Linked DNA regions of Drosophila melanogaster. The protein of the gene in region 1 purifies or fractionates together with the protein of each later gene. This does not show direct contact. Each region holds a gene or a part of one and is shown in the gene's direction. Other genes may lie near its edges.

Region 1 (3,105 bases):
CGGTTGAAAACGGCGGAGGCAGAAAGAAGCCGAATGGAACTTTCAAGCTCGCAGTTTTGGGGGCCACCGTAGGCGCGGCCACCGGATCGGTGTATACGATGTACCAGCGGTGGACAGACGGCAGCTCGCACAAAGAGCACGAGGAGACGAAGCCGACGCGGCTGGACGGGATTCCGGCTGGAGTGCGGATAACCAAGCGCTATGTCAACCCCAAGGACACGTCCGGTTTGGACATTGTGCTGTTCCAGTTCCAGACGTGTCCCTTCTGTTGCAAGGTGCGCGCTTTCCTCGACTACATGGGCATATCCTATGCGGTGGTCGAAGTGGATGCCGTCCTACGGCAGGACATCCGCTGGTCGTCGGTGAAGAAGGTGCCGATGGTGCTCATCCGACAGCAGGACGGCAAATACGTCCAGATGGTGGACTCAAGTGCCATCATATCCCTTATAGCCACCCACCTGCAGGACAAGCGCACCGACATCGGCGAGCTGGCACAGTTCTATCCGCACACCTCCTTCTTCGACGATGATGGCAAAAAGAAGAACGACATATTGAATAAATACTTCCTCATGTACCGCGAGCATACGCCCAAGGGAGTATCCAAGGAAACGGATGAGTAAGTTAACCAGGGTCAAGTAATCTTTTAATCAAATCTTTTAACCTTGAGTGTCTGTTCTTAGAACCGATCGCAAGTGGAGAAGCTGGGCCGACAGCCACTTGGTGCATCTAATATCGCCCAACTGTTATCAGACCATGGGCGAGTCCCTAGAGACTTTTGAGTGGTTCTCGCAAGCTGGCGAGTGGGACGTTCACTTCCCCAAATGGGAGCGCGACCTGATGGTTTACTGTGGTGCCACCGCCATGTGGGCCATAGCCAAGATGCTGAAGCGCCGTCACGCCCTCAGCGACGACGTCAGGTCGCACATGTACGATGCCCTTGACCAGTGGACCACTGAGCTGAAAAAGAGGAACACGAAATTCATGGGCGGAAAACAGCCAAGTCTGGCTGATCTATCGGTTTTCGGCGTGCTTTCAAGCATGGAGGGGTGTCAGACGTTCAAGGATTGTCTGCAAAACACCAGCATCGGTAAATAAGGTTTCTTTCTCGGGTTTTGTACCTTTTTACGAACTTTTTACATATTTCCGCAGGTAAATGGTTTTATGACGTCAAGGCGTTGGTGGAGAAGAATCGTGGGCAGTTGCAAAGAGAACGTATTGAAAACATGGCCGCTATAGCTTAAAACAAATATTTGCCCTTATTTTATCCAAAGATTGTTGAAAATAACCGAAATGTTCATTAAAATATACATTTTAATCAAATCTAGTTTGCCGTTTCGTTTATGGTATCTGAATGTATATATTTGGTCAAAAACGCGTAAGGAGTGCAAGTTTATGGTACAAATTGGAATTAATTTTAGGTTTTATATTGTTATTTTATTTATATGTTAAATTAAAAATGTTTACTAAATAAATACCTCCTGCTAATAAAAATATCCCAAACCGACGTATGTATACCTATCGATAACGTTTAAGCAGGCTGGATCCGATGCTCAACAACGGTCACATTGATTTTGTGATTTTGGTTAGCCGCTTGCAAACTTGCAAATCATTTCGTTGGTTTTTTACTTGGCGAGTTAATTGGTGAATTTCAGCACAAAACATGAGCAGATTGGGCTTTGAGCAATTCCCGGACTACCAGGTGCCCGGCATGAAGCATCCTGATTTCTCGCCCTACGAGTCCAATGGCGGGTGAGTTGCTATTTCCCAGCGGAATCGAGATGTGGAAGAATGTCTCCATCTAACCGGAGTCTTCCCTGTTTACAGCTCCATTGTGGCCATCGCCGGAGATGACTTTGCCGTAATTGCAGCGGACACCCGCCTGAGCAGCGGCTACAACATTCACTCGCGAACGCAGAGTAAACTCTTTAAACTCTCGCCCCAGACAGTGTTGGGTTCCGCAGGCTGCTGGGCGGACACGCTCTCGTTGACCGGATCGATTAAGGTGCGCATGCAGAGCTACGAGCATACCCATCTGCGCACCATGACCACTGAGGCCGTGGCCCAGATGCTCTCCATCGCCATGTACAATCGCCGCTTCTTCCCGTACTACGTGTCGAACATTCTGGCTGGAATTGACAACGAGGGCAAGGGCGTCGTCTACTCCTACGATCCCATCGGTCACTGCGAGAAGGCTACATACCGCGCCGGCGGCACTGCCGGCACCCTGCTGCAACCGGTGCTGGACAACCAGATTGGTCACAAGAACATGAATTTGGAAGACGCCGACAAGATCAAGTTAACCAAGGAGCGGGCCGTGAGCGTTGCCTCCGACACCTTCATCTCTGCCGCTGAGCGCGACATCTACACCGGCGACTCTGTGCTGATCAACATCATAACCAAAGATGGAATTGAAGTACGAACTCTGACGCTGCGTCAGGACTAGCCTGTGGCGAGGATGTTGCCGTTTCTTTTGGTTAGGGGCATTCGGTGGAAACCAGGCATTCTAAGTTAGTTGGCTTCAAATTTTTGTATTTACCCAAAACAACAAAACATCGTAATAAACCGAATCTTTGAGATTTAAAATATGCGGCCTAGTGTGACCAGCTGGTCCTAGAAATAAATCGTTCCCAAGCAGTGCTCACAGAAGAGGCTGTGCGAATAGTACAGCTTTCCCCGTACCAACAAATCCATTTTGCTAGCTAAGTTTGTGCCCGCTGGTGTGCGTTAACAAAATCATTTCTTAGTGTTCGTCTCTCAGAGAATTCAGTCCAATGACGAGTTTCGAGTTTGCACTGCTGCCGCTTCTGTTTTTGCCACTGATCCTGGAAAACCCGCTAACCTCCGCCCAAATGATGTCATCGCTGGTGAAGCCGGGCATTTTCCGGCACCTAATGTGCCGCAACAACATGTATCCGCGCAGCTCAGTCCTCCGGTACCCAGTTTCCGACGAACAGGTCTTCTGGTCGGAGCCGTTCCCGGACTACTGCCCGCCTGCGTACACGGCGCCACATATTGGCGGGCAGGTGTGGGCTGATCCGCCGTTGCCCAGCGACACATTCTGGCCACAGTGGAATCAGCTGGATGGACAGGTAAACCGCGAATCCT
Region 2 (7,579 bases), on another chromosome or scaffold:
CCATTATTTATAATGTTATGGTAAAAAAAACGGATTGTATTATGATAGAAATAACAATATTTATTCTTGGACAGAAAACTGCACAATTGGAAAATGTTTTTAGTGAAACGATGTAATTAGTTTATAAGGTTTTCCCGTAAGCTGTAAATTTCGCTCAAGCAGTTTTATTTCGCCCACACAAGTTGCATTAGTCCAGCTGTACATACAATGTCATTTATGTGTATTTTTTACTTATACATATAACGATGGCATTAATTTACTTATTTTCGTTCTACAACAAGTAATTTATATTTGCCGATATATGTATGTATATGTAGCTATATCCACTTTGAATGCAAAATAAGCATCCAAACACATGTAAGTAAATTTCCAAAAAAAGTTTTTATCTACTTTTCATGGCTTTTATTCCTTAAAAAACAAACACGTATGTTTCATACGCCCAGTTTAATTTTTTGACCGCTTCCGTAAAATTCTTTATCTGTTTCTTCTGTTTATGTGTGCCACCCAGCCAGTTGAACCGCCCTGCTGTTAATATTTTGACCGCAGCTGTACCATATGTTATCTATTTACCCTGTTTATTCTTTCCCCTAATTTAAATGAGACTTTTTCATTTATTCAGAATTTTTATCTGTTTCTTTGTTTTTTTTTTTTTGTCATGAGTTATGAGTTTTCCTAGTCGCCCATTGCTATTTTTATGGCTGCAATTGTTTGTTGGATAAGATGAGGGGGGTGAGTGCAGTGCACTGCTTGCTGGCCAGTGCAGTGCAATAGCGGCATCTCGTCTCCCGCATCGCATGCACTGCTTGCTTACCTTCACACGCACAAAAGGGGATCCCATCAGCTCGTTGAGGTCGGTCATGATGATGTCGCTCTCCTGCTCCTTCTCGCTCGCACTCAAATGCAGTTATTGCAGCGGCTACCGCTCTCTCACTCCCACTCCTGCTGCTGCCACACGCGGCGCAGACAACAACAACAATAAAACACAAAAAAAAATGAGTCGCACAGCTGTTTTGTTATTTTCGTGTGCAACAATTTGCTGAAATCGTTCCACTTTGCGTCTATTTTCACTTGCAATTCACTTTCAATTGGTGCTAAAAGCGCAATAGCTTCACTGTATGAGTGTATCTGTGTGCGTCTGTGCGTGTGTGTGTGTGTGCGCGCACTTGTTGGTCTTCTTTCGTTCTCCAAATGTTCTTGTTGTTGCTGCTGCAATATTTGGCAATCGCTGTTGTTGTTGCTGCCTTTGCACGGGGGCGTCAACAATGAACGGCGAATAACGAGTGATGTCAACAACTATTAGCTAGCCGGGGGCAAAAGTGTTATTTTCTTTTATACGCTGGAAGGCGTCAGCGCAGCAACACGACCAATTGCAATTTAAATTAAAATTGTGATGTGTGGGCCAATGTGACCGGTCGCTGTTCCGCTTATACATGCCAGTTATTATTTCGGTGTGACCGTAGCTATAAAATGCGACAGGCCGTGTTAAATACTGAATAATACCAATAACTGGTATTTTAGTTTATCAGCGATCTTCCTTCTCTGCATGTGAATGTGTGTGTGCGTGTGTGTCTGTTTATGTGCGTGTGTGTATGTTTGCGTGAGCCGCTGATAACGCAGCTGATCGGGCGATTCCATTGAATTCAAGTTTTCAATTCGCAGAGCATGGCCAGCAACTTCACCCAGTCCCAGCCGTCCAGGATCACCAGCTACATGGTCAACCAGCTGCAGCCGACGGCGCAGGAAACGAAGGTCAGTCAGACAATATCGGACATAACCTTGATCTCCTTGGCACACGGATTGTGTCTCAGTGAGATTATCGGAGCACCTACATACATATGTTAAATTCAAAAATGTATCTACTTGCAGTTGGCGCTGATTCCCAGTGCACCCCAGTGGCGCTCCCCCCAGCTGATGGTCGTCTTCGAGGACGGTGATCTGCACTCAGCGCGCCACCAGTTGCTCCAGTCCCTGCAGAATCCCTTTGCCGAGGGATCGGTGGCCACGTTGCTACTCCAGGAGAGCATTGCCGATCAGTTTGTGGGCCTAGTGGCGCAGGATTTGCGTCCGTTGTCGCAGGAGGTGTCCAAGCATCCGAGCTACACCAGCACGCTGGCCAAGATCGAAGAGCTGAAGGCCAAGACAGTACAAGGCGAAAGCCTTAAGGCTGGGGAATCACCCGTCTTGGTGTACGACTGCGTGCACAGCTATCTGGGCAATGGAGCGACGGGAGTGGTGACGGTGCACACATTCCGCACAGCCAAGGAGGCCGGCCAGTTGGCCAAAAGGGATCCCCTACCTTACGGCCAAGTTAGTCTGTGGAATGAGAAGCTGGGCTGCGCCTACGAACTGATACCACGACTACCGAGCGATATTGTGGCCATTAATTGCTTCAATCCGGACTTGGATCCCATCTGGGAATCCTTTGCTGCCGACCGCAACGATGTTCTGCTGGCCAAGAACTATCACTATGAATCGCTGGTGGTGAGCGGCAAACGGAGGATCGTCGTCTTTCCCGTGGGCACCATCTTCGGCAACTGAAGAGTGACAGTTCTGGACTTCGACGGCGACGAATCACATCCGGAAGGAATTACATCCAGGTGCTTTTTAAGCCATACTTTAAAATACCTCTCTAAGCATTTTACATGTAGCTTGGGGCATCCTTTTCGACAGTTCAATTGGAATTATATCGAACTAAATTAGGAGTTATGTCAAACAACTAGCATTTAATGTGGCTTAACTTAGAAATTATCTGATTTTGCAACCATCATAATATTCCAATTGTATTGCGAAAAGGTCCTTGAGTCTGAATTGTTTTTTTGATACTCTGTCAATAATTGTCCACTGAAAAATCATCAGCCAACTTTTATGCATCTGTGGGAATTTGGGGTAGGTCCACGAATCTCTGCATGCAACAGGCATTTTTTCAGGACATGCGCAAGTGCTGCTCCAGAAATAGAAATCCTGCAAAGCAGTTTAAATGGAAGCAGTTGAAGGGCACACTCATACACTTGGGGCCAAAATAATAGCGCTCATTTTAGTAAACTTAACATACTATGAAGTAAATGAACCATTTAACTGATAAACTGGTAATGATTTCAATGAAAATTTTTAAAAGAACATTTTGTTTTGTGCGAGCTACGCAGCGATCGATCAACTTAACCCTTTATCTTATCTATTTCATTGTAAACGGACAACAAATATGGAAAAATTTCCAGATGTAGAAATGTACATACTATGTGTGGAATTTAGGTTTTTGCTCATTTCTTTTGTTCTCTAACTAGAGCCTGCTTGAATTGACTTACATACATTAAAAGAGCTTGGCTACTTAAACGTAGCTATTGTGTTAGCCTGAGTTGTTTGAGTGTGCGTGTATTTGTGTTGGCAACTAAAGTATACTTTGCCTTTCTCTCCTCGTTGTTTTTATTCTCAAGATTTTAGTACAAATTCCCTTTTTGATTTCGACTATCTGGAAATTAGTTTTGTTTTATTGTTTTTATTTTCTTACAAATAGTAATTTTTCAGTGCTGGCAAATATACCATATCGCCGTTTATAGTTTGTGTGTGTGTGTAAACTAACTGTAACTAAACAAAGATAGTATACTTAAGTTAGTTCACAACAATACAATTCACACTGCACTCTCTTCTCTTCTCGCACATCACCCCCTTTCTCTTTGGCCCTCTCTAATGCTCTCTCTCTCACCCACTCTCTTTCGTTCTTGCATCCCCTTCTGTGACGTAGCGCCGCACCATTCATGCTCCACTTTCACACGGGAGAGAGCGAGAACGCCACAGAGCCAGCCATTAGAGAGGGAGCGAGCTGTGGTGACTCCAAACGCAGTGGCGCAGCAAAAGGGGCAACTAAACAATGACTGAAATTCCCAAAGAACTACGCCATCATTCTATCGCCAGAAAGTATTTACTCTTCTCACTCGAGGAATCCCCTCTGTGATTTTGGCTCGCCACCCCACAACTACGCCACTGTTACCCCTCTTGTGGTTAGAAGCTACGTTTGCTGGCGCTGCCTTTTGCTTAGGTTTGTTGTTGCGCTGTCCGTTGCCCGTTGCCATTTGCCAGTCCGTCAGTCTGCGCTGGTTCCCGCTGGCGTGGTGAGGTGTCCGCTCGCGTTGCCGCTCCCGTTCCCGCTCCCGCTCACACGGCTCTTGATTTTGGTGGACAAGCAAACCGCTTCCGCCACCGCTGGCGATACAAATACAATAACTACACTACAGCTGCCGCTCCGGCAGAGAAAATGCGTTGGCAGTTGCAGTTCCAAACGCTCAAAAGACGCTCGAAAAGCACAGACCGCCAAGCACCAACATCTCCAATCGGAATCCACGAAACCAAATAGAGCGCCACGATGCCACCGCACAAATGGACGGACGAGTCGCGGGACGCCTCCTGTTACTACGATCCATCCACCTCCTCCAATTCATCCGCCTCGGCGGAGCGCTCCGACGACGAAGCGGACGACGAACGGGAGGCGTTTTGCTCCGGCGAACGACCGCTAATCCGCTCCAGCGGCGCTGCGGAGGGTGAGTAGCTACAAGATACACAGATGGGGAAAGATATTTACCTAGCTATAGCATATGTAGGTGGAGCAACGTAGATATGCGTATTACAAGCTCAAGATACCTTTATTTATTTAAATCTTTAGTGCTATTTCTGCTTCATATTGATTTGCATTTATGTATTGTACATACATATGTCCTGGGTCAGTACTTTTATTAAACATAAACTCTCGGAATATCTGTGTAAAAAAAAACAGTACTCAACGCAAAGATACTTTTTGTTGTAAACAAATTTCATTTTACGTATATCCAAGACACTCTAAAATTGTATCTTTCAATTTATAATAATTCTCATTTAATCTTAAAGTAAGATATTATATGGCTTATAGATTTCAATAACTAATAAAAATAATTAAAATGTTTTTATACATATAACATAACATACATATAATATAAAATAACCTAATAATTACGCATAAATTTTAATTTTCACGTAATACTATCCAGTTATCCAGTTAACAGCCTATGCCTATGTATAATTTATTCGCCAAGGGCCGAAATTACGACTTGTTTACATTTACTGATATGAAGCGAAGTTTTTCTGAACTTTATAGAACAGTACAAATCTGCATTTCAAATGGAACGGAGGGCCGATAACTTTTTCGATGGTATCAGATCGTAATATTTTTATTTTAGATTTTATACTTGAGCGATTCCTATGAACAAGTATCTGAAAAGAAATTAAATTCACTGGCAATGGCATCTCATGTAAACATTTCTAAAGGAATAAAAAAGTGAAGAAATTGAGGCAATTTAAACTATGCAATGATAACACATTGAATGGTATTTAGGGATTTTCAGTGTAACATTGGGCCTTATCGAGAACGGCGAGAACTTTTAAGTAAAACCGGAACTGATATCGTTATTACGCCTCCTAAACCATAGCTTACTAACCATCCACTCTCTCCTCTCTCCACCCTGCAGAAAACCATGGCTGTGGCCCAAAGACGCGTCACATTTTCGGATTCATGGGCTTCCTGGGATTCGCCGTGGTCTACGCGATGCGGGTCAATCTGTCGGTGGCCATTGTGGCCATGGTGAACCAAACGGCAATTCCGCACAGCAACTCATCGGTGATTGATACGGACACGTGTCCACTACCGGCACCACATCACAATGGTAGCGATCCCAATCCGCAGAAGGAGGGCGAGTTTGTGTGGGACGAGGCCACGCAGGGATTGGTGCTCGGCAGTTTCTTCTATGGCTATGTGCTAACCCAAGTGCCCGGCGGACGGATGGCCGAGCTGTATGGTGGGAAGAAGATCTACGGCTATGGAGTGTTGATCACGGCGGTCTTTACGCTTATAACTCCATTGGCTGCCCACTGGGATCTGCCGCTGTTGGTCCTGGTCCGCATCCTGGAGGGAATGGGCGAGGGCGTCACCTATCCAGCTATGCACGCCATGCTTGCCCACTGGATACCGCCGCTGGAGAGGAACAAGTTCGCCGCAATCGTCTATGCGGGCTCCAATATCGGAACAGTCATTTCCATGCCGCTGGCCGGATGGCTGTGCTCGCTGGACTTCCTGGGTGGCTGGCCGTCGGCTTTCTACATCTTCGGACTGTTGGGCATTCTGTGGTTCATCGCATGGATGTATTTGGTGTACGACAAGCCTAGCGATCATCCCAGGATCTCAGAATCGGAGCGAGAGTATATCGAAAGGAGTCTACAGGTTCAGAGGCTAATAAATCAGGATCTAGCGGAGGCCGAGGAAGAGGAGGGACAGGATGAAGTGAGTCTGCGGGCGCCGCCGGAGGAACCGATACCCTGGTCATCGCTGCTCACATCCGTACCTCTGTGGGCCATCTTGTTGACGCAATGCGGCCAGGGATGGGCCTTCTACACGCAGCTAACCGAGCTGCCCACCTACATGAGCAACATCCTACACTTTGACATCCAGTCGAATGCTCTGCTCAATGCGGTGCCGTATCTAACCTCCTGGTTCGTGGGCATTGCCTGCTCCGCCCTGGCGGATTGGATGCTAGCCAGACGCTACATATCGCTGCTGAACTCGTATAAGTTGTGGAACACGGTGGCCTCCGTGGTGCCATCACTGGGCCTGATTGGCATCATCTATGTGGGCTGCGATTGGGTGTGGGTCACCTTTATGTTGGCCGGCGTGGGCTCTTTCGGCGGCGCCGTCTATGCTGGCAACCAGATGAATCACATAGCGCTCAGTCCACGATATGCAGGCACCATGTATGGCATCACCAATTCGGCGGCAAATATCTGTGGCTTCCTGGCTCCGTATGTCATCGGTCTAATCATCAATCATCGCGAGACTCTGACACAGTGGCATCTGGTCTTCTGGCTGGCGGCGGGCTTGAATATAGCCGGTAACTTCATCTACCTGATCTTCGCCAGCGCCGAGGAGCAAAGCTGGTCGAAGACACCACCCACACGCAACTCACGATCCCAGCGCGCTTGAAGCAAGCCTAACTATACGCTATTTTAGCTAGATCATAAGCATTTGTGATAATTCCGATATATACACATATATCCTACATATGTATTTGGGCTCGAAGTTTTCCGGATGCAGGACAAGAATGTGGCTTCCAAAAAGAAAAAAAAAAAACGAAACGAACGAAACTAGTGCTACCAAATCGGAATGGAAAATCGAAAGGATGTTAACTGTTTTAGTGTATTATATACGTGTATCGTCCTTTTATATGGACTTTTGTTTTGCTAGGCGTCTTTTTTTTGTAAACAATTATACCAATACCAACTATATATATATATACATATATATTTATATATCTATCATATACACGCTCGAAGGCACGTAGATCTGTCGAAATAAACAGCACAAACATATCGAACTGTGGCACCTGATTTAAGCATTTTATTCTTTAACTGGCAGGTGGTTTTCGTGTATCCGACTAAGTAATACCTCTTCATTGGAGAATTATGATTTGATGGGTTATTTATTTTATGCAGCTACTAGAGTCTTGGATTTTTAAAACACTTTTAGGCTTTTCATGTTTTTGAAGGCTGTAAAAATGTTGCATAA
Region 3 (3,933 bases), on another chromosome or scaffold:
CGGAGGGCAGCATCCAGCGGAGACGGCCTGCAGAAGATTGTAAATTTTATACCATATACGTCATACAGAAATGGGTGTACTGGTGCACTGAGGGAAATCGTGCCCTCGGATGCCTTTAAATAACTCTTGAAAAGCTGAAGAAACATCCTTTTATTTTGTACTTCAATTTAAAGAAATCATCTATTGATCATCTTTTGGAATCTCTTGCTTTTACCCATTAATTTCTCTGAGTGCGTATAAAATAGAAGAGAAATATCAGCCCAATCAAGCTGTTTTAAAAGGAATTCCCTCATCTGAAGAGTCCCCTAGTTGAACCCACGACTCTTCTCTTTTTTGAATACACATCTTCGACTTTTATGCATTTATTGCTGTGAAAAAATGTTAATTCTCGACGTTATATTTTTATTTGACTTTTACATATCGATCTTCTCGCCCTGAGATCTCCATCTCCATTCGACCATACATAGTTGGCTCTTGGCCATCCTTATGGCCATATATTGGACTGACTGAATTGGTTGATTCGCCTCGTACTGGTCTACTGTGTATTAATTGGTCAAAGGCAGTAAAACAGAAAGTAAACGTTATAAATCAATCGTGGTATGAGTTCTTTTGAACTCTTCAAGCGGCAAAATTCACAGGGAACTGAAATGATTGTATTAACAAATAAGTCAAAGGAACGATGCTAGTAAGCTAAAATCGATGCGAGTAATTTGTGTTTATTCTAACTTAATTTATTTATAGACTTATAGATTAAATCACCATAAGTTGCATCCGAAAGAATCGCATCTCAAAGTAATAAAAACTAACGATATTTTTATCAACTCGACGCCATAAATATGCCCGTTGCGATATTCTTATTGTAAATTCTCGAATTGTCTGCTGATTAAATTTACTTATCATTTTGTCAGTTTCTTAATATAGAATTCATTCATTAAAAATAGGGCTGATCTTTTAAATTATCTAATACGTTTTTGTATCAATACTATAGCTATACATGCTATAAACTATTTGACTTTGTATTGCAATGCTCATCCATACCAATATTAAAATGATTAAAGTTGTAAATTACAAAGCAGGAATGTAGTTCGCTTTTTTCGCACTGTAAAATTCAGTAAATGGGCATAAATCATAATTTACGTACTACCTTTTAGTCTAAAGTGAAGGTGAAGATCCATCCATCCGGTTGATGTTTCCATTTGGATTTTCAAGTTCAGATTGGATAGGATCGGATCGGTTGGCCGGAGACAGTTTGGGCTATTGTGTGCGGGAGTTTGATTAACACAACATCCACTGGCCGAATCTTTATTAGTGACCATGCACTAATTAAGCCCTGTCGTGTGATTTGGTCTCCTCGCATTCGCATTCGTTCGCGTTTGTCACTCGATGCAAATGAATCGCGTCTCTGTGGAGCAGAAGATCATAAAAGCCGCTAAAAGGTGTGGGTGAAAAGAAAAACAAAACCCCGGCCAGCCAGCCAGCGGATTCAGTTCTTTTGTTGATCGAATTGATTAGAGCTGCGGCCGAGATCGATACGTTTGTATATTTCGGATGTGCGTTGCTGGCCAGCGAGGGTGTAATTAATCACAACACTCAAGTTCGTCACTTGACCGAAGTGTTAAGTGCGCTAATAACGCCAATTTGCATAGACCGACTTTTACCCATCAACACGATTACAATTAAAGTGTATTTCAAATAGTGCTGCGTTGTTGCTATATATATAGAAATATTTTGTTTAAATAATCAAATTGGATTGGAAAATTTGGAGTTCATAATTTCAAATCGAAATTCACTTGTCGGACATGCCGCATTTTTGTACCCTGCAATGGTTTGAAACCGAGCTAAAATTTATGTGGGTCAAAATGGATTGAATCCATGTTAGCATTGTCTGGAGCTGCCATCCTGATTTCTACACATGTAAAGAGTTGCCAGTCTGGTTTCTACACTACTGGATTCTATTCTAGTCGATAAGTTGCTTTCTATTCGATTATCTTGTCAATTATCGTCGATATCGAGTAGGCATCGACACAAGTACCAGCTCTAATTCGCACGGAATTTGTTTGTCATTCAAGAAACAATTATAATTCGCCGCATTTTTATTCTAAAAGCGCTTACGAATATGGTAAGTACCTCGCCGAGTGCATTTAGTAGAGCCGCTAACGAAACGAAAACCCCTCGCAATACAGTATCAGCCATCACTGAAAGTCCAGCCCGCCGAGGTGTCCGTGCTGAACGCCACCGGCCGTGTGGGAATGCCCACCGAGGCCAACTGCCTGAACCAACTGGCCCACGTCCACCGGCTGCGCGACTCGGAGCTGAACTACAACGAGCACCAGTACAACCGCAACATGCAGATGCTGCGCAACCACGAGGGCCTCGGCGTGCCCCTCAAGATGGGCATGGAGCGCTTCGCCGCACGTCAGGTGGGCCGCCTGCCCTTCCTTTCGTCCAGGTGAGCATCTAGCCCGGTCTGGGAGCTTCTCAGTCTGGACAGGAATCTCTGCAAGGGCGGAAGCATTCAGAAATCTTCTGTTTCCACATTATAAGAATCCCGGAGAAACCTGAGATATCCTACAATCTAGAAAATCTAAACTTCTTGCCTAATAATGGATACCTATATACGTACATACATACATACGTGTATACCAAGTATACCTGTGATTCCCATAGTACCATTATTACCGAAAACCCAGCAATGACTACTTATCTTCTATATTAATTCTTTCCTTTATATTGCAGCAACTTCATGGACGATGTCCTGACTGGCCGCTGTGATTCCATTGGCTTCGAGGACTTCATGAACTTGCCCGAGAACAGCGAGCATATGCGTCAGCCCCACGCTGTGGTGGAGAAATCTCTGGGAATTTACCAATAAGTCCCTGCAAATGAAGTTGCTAAATGCCTGGCATTCAGCCTTTAAACTCTAAGACACTCTTAAGATCAGCAAATAAAATATATTTTGGTGCGACCAGCTAGAGGTAAACAAAATTCACCATTTCTTTGAGCCAAATTTATTCGTATTTCGTTTGTTTAACTCCACATCAATACATTTAACTAGTTCGTTAAACTTACACATTTTATTCAAACAAATCTAAAAACTACACGAAAATATTGGCAGAAGGTTGTTGTACTGAGGAGATTCGTTAAAATAATAAACTGAAGAGATATGCGTTGACATCATTCATTATTTGTAAAAATAAAACAAGAGATGGTAAAATGGACGAATTCGTTTCGTAAAATTAGGCTTATACTTAAGGAAAACTGAATTGTAAACGGAGGGCGCATTTCAACTTATACAAACATTGCATATATACATGATTTATATTTAAAGAGGAAAATGACAGTAATTGAGATAAACATAGTTAATAAAACGCATTACATTCCTCAAGCAAAACACGTCTAATCAACAATAAATATTGAAATCGCTAGCGTTTTAAATGCTCTTCGCTAAATTTGTATTGTGTTGCGAGTTTAAGCTTCAATTACTGGAATTATCCCTTTAATTGTGATGATAGGCATTCGATTTTTATAGTATATATTCTTCAATATGCATAAAGGCGCAATTGCAAAGGGTCATGGGATTCTAGTAGATCCAGTTGACAGGCACCCACTGCTCCTCGTGGCTCATCTGATCCAGCGTTTCCACCACCTGGCGGAACGTCTCATCGAAGTCCTCGTTCACGATGACCATGTCGAAGTATTTCTCATACTTGCGCTGGACGAAGCTGCTCTCCTCGACGGTGGCGACAAGGTCGTCGTCCTGTTCGGAAAAGTCATAGAAAGCGAATGTGTTAAGCAATGTTTGGGTATTCAGGCAGAGATCTAACAGGGCTACTAGGGTGGCCTAGGTGCGCCAAGCGGATGATTGAGTTGAGCACAATTTATACGACACTGTAATTAAGGATAGGTCAGGGCACATTACCTCATACAACGACG

Evidence for each region. The genes of interacting proteins can lie anywhere in the genome.
Region 2: the proteins of Prosbeta6 (region 1) and CG15717 purify together in Drosophila melanogaster (affinity purification with mass spectrometry, with the first as the bait; one large-scale study listed by BioGRID). This does not show direct contact.
Region 3: the proteins of Prosbeta6 (region 1) and Pomp purify together in Drosophila melanogaster (affinity purification with mass spectrometry, with the first as the bait; one large-scale study listed by BioGRID). This does not show direct contact.

The regions. Positions count from the first base shown.
Region 1 is NT_037436.4:16,608,874-16,611,978, reverse strand, and holds Prosbeta6 (proteasome beta6 subunit), read left to right. Parts: upstream 1-1,560; 5' UTR 1,561-1,660; coding exon 1,661-1,749; intron 1,750-1,824; coding exon 1,825-2,443; 3' UTR 2,444-2,579; downstream 2,580-3,105. Other genes in the region: Su(P) (suppressor of ref(2)P sterility), read left to right, coding at 1-616, 681-1,087, 1,150-1,241; CG4098 (uncharacterized protein), read left to right, coding at 2,772-3,105. UniProt on the Drosophila melanogaster protein: Non-catalytic component of the proteasome, a multicatalytic proteinase complex which is characterized by its ability to cleave peptides with Arg, Phe, Tyr, Leu, and Glu adjacent to the leaving group at neutral or slightly basic pH.
Region 2 is NC_004354.4:13,127,440-13,135,018, forward strand, and holds CG15717 (uncharacterized protein), read left to right. Parts: upstream 1-1,578; 5' UTR 1,579-1,662; coding exon 1,663-1,749; intron 1,750-1,866; coding exon 1,867-2,538; 3' UTR 2,539-2,597; exon of another isoform or gene 2,598-2,851; intron 2,852-3,553; exon of another isoform or gene 3,554-3,739; 3' UTR 3,740-4,357; coding exon of another isoform or gene 4,358-4,532; intron 4,533-5,492; coding exon of another isoform or gene 5,493-6,997; 3' UTR 6,998-7,126; downstream 7,127-7,579. Other genes in the region: CG32638 (uncharacterized protein), read right to left, coding at 812-859; MFS10 (major facilitator superfamily transporter 10), read left to right, coding at 4,358-4,532, 5,493-6,997.
Region 3 is NT_033779.5:20,785,667-20,789,599, forward strand, and holds Pomp (pomp), read left to right. Parts: upstream 1-1,989; 5' UTR 1,990-2,116; coding exon 2,117-2,119; intron 2,120-2,183; coding exon 2,184-2,449; intron 2,450-2,736; coding exon 2,737-2,872; 3' UTR 2,873-3,432; downstream 3,433-3,933. Other genes in the region: vari (varicose), read right to left, coding at 3,581-3,757, 3,920-3,933.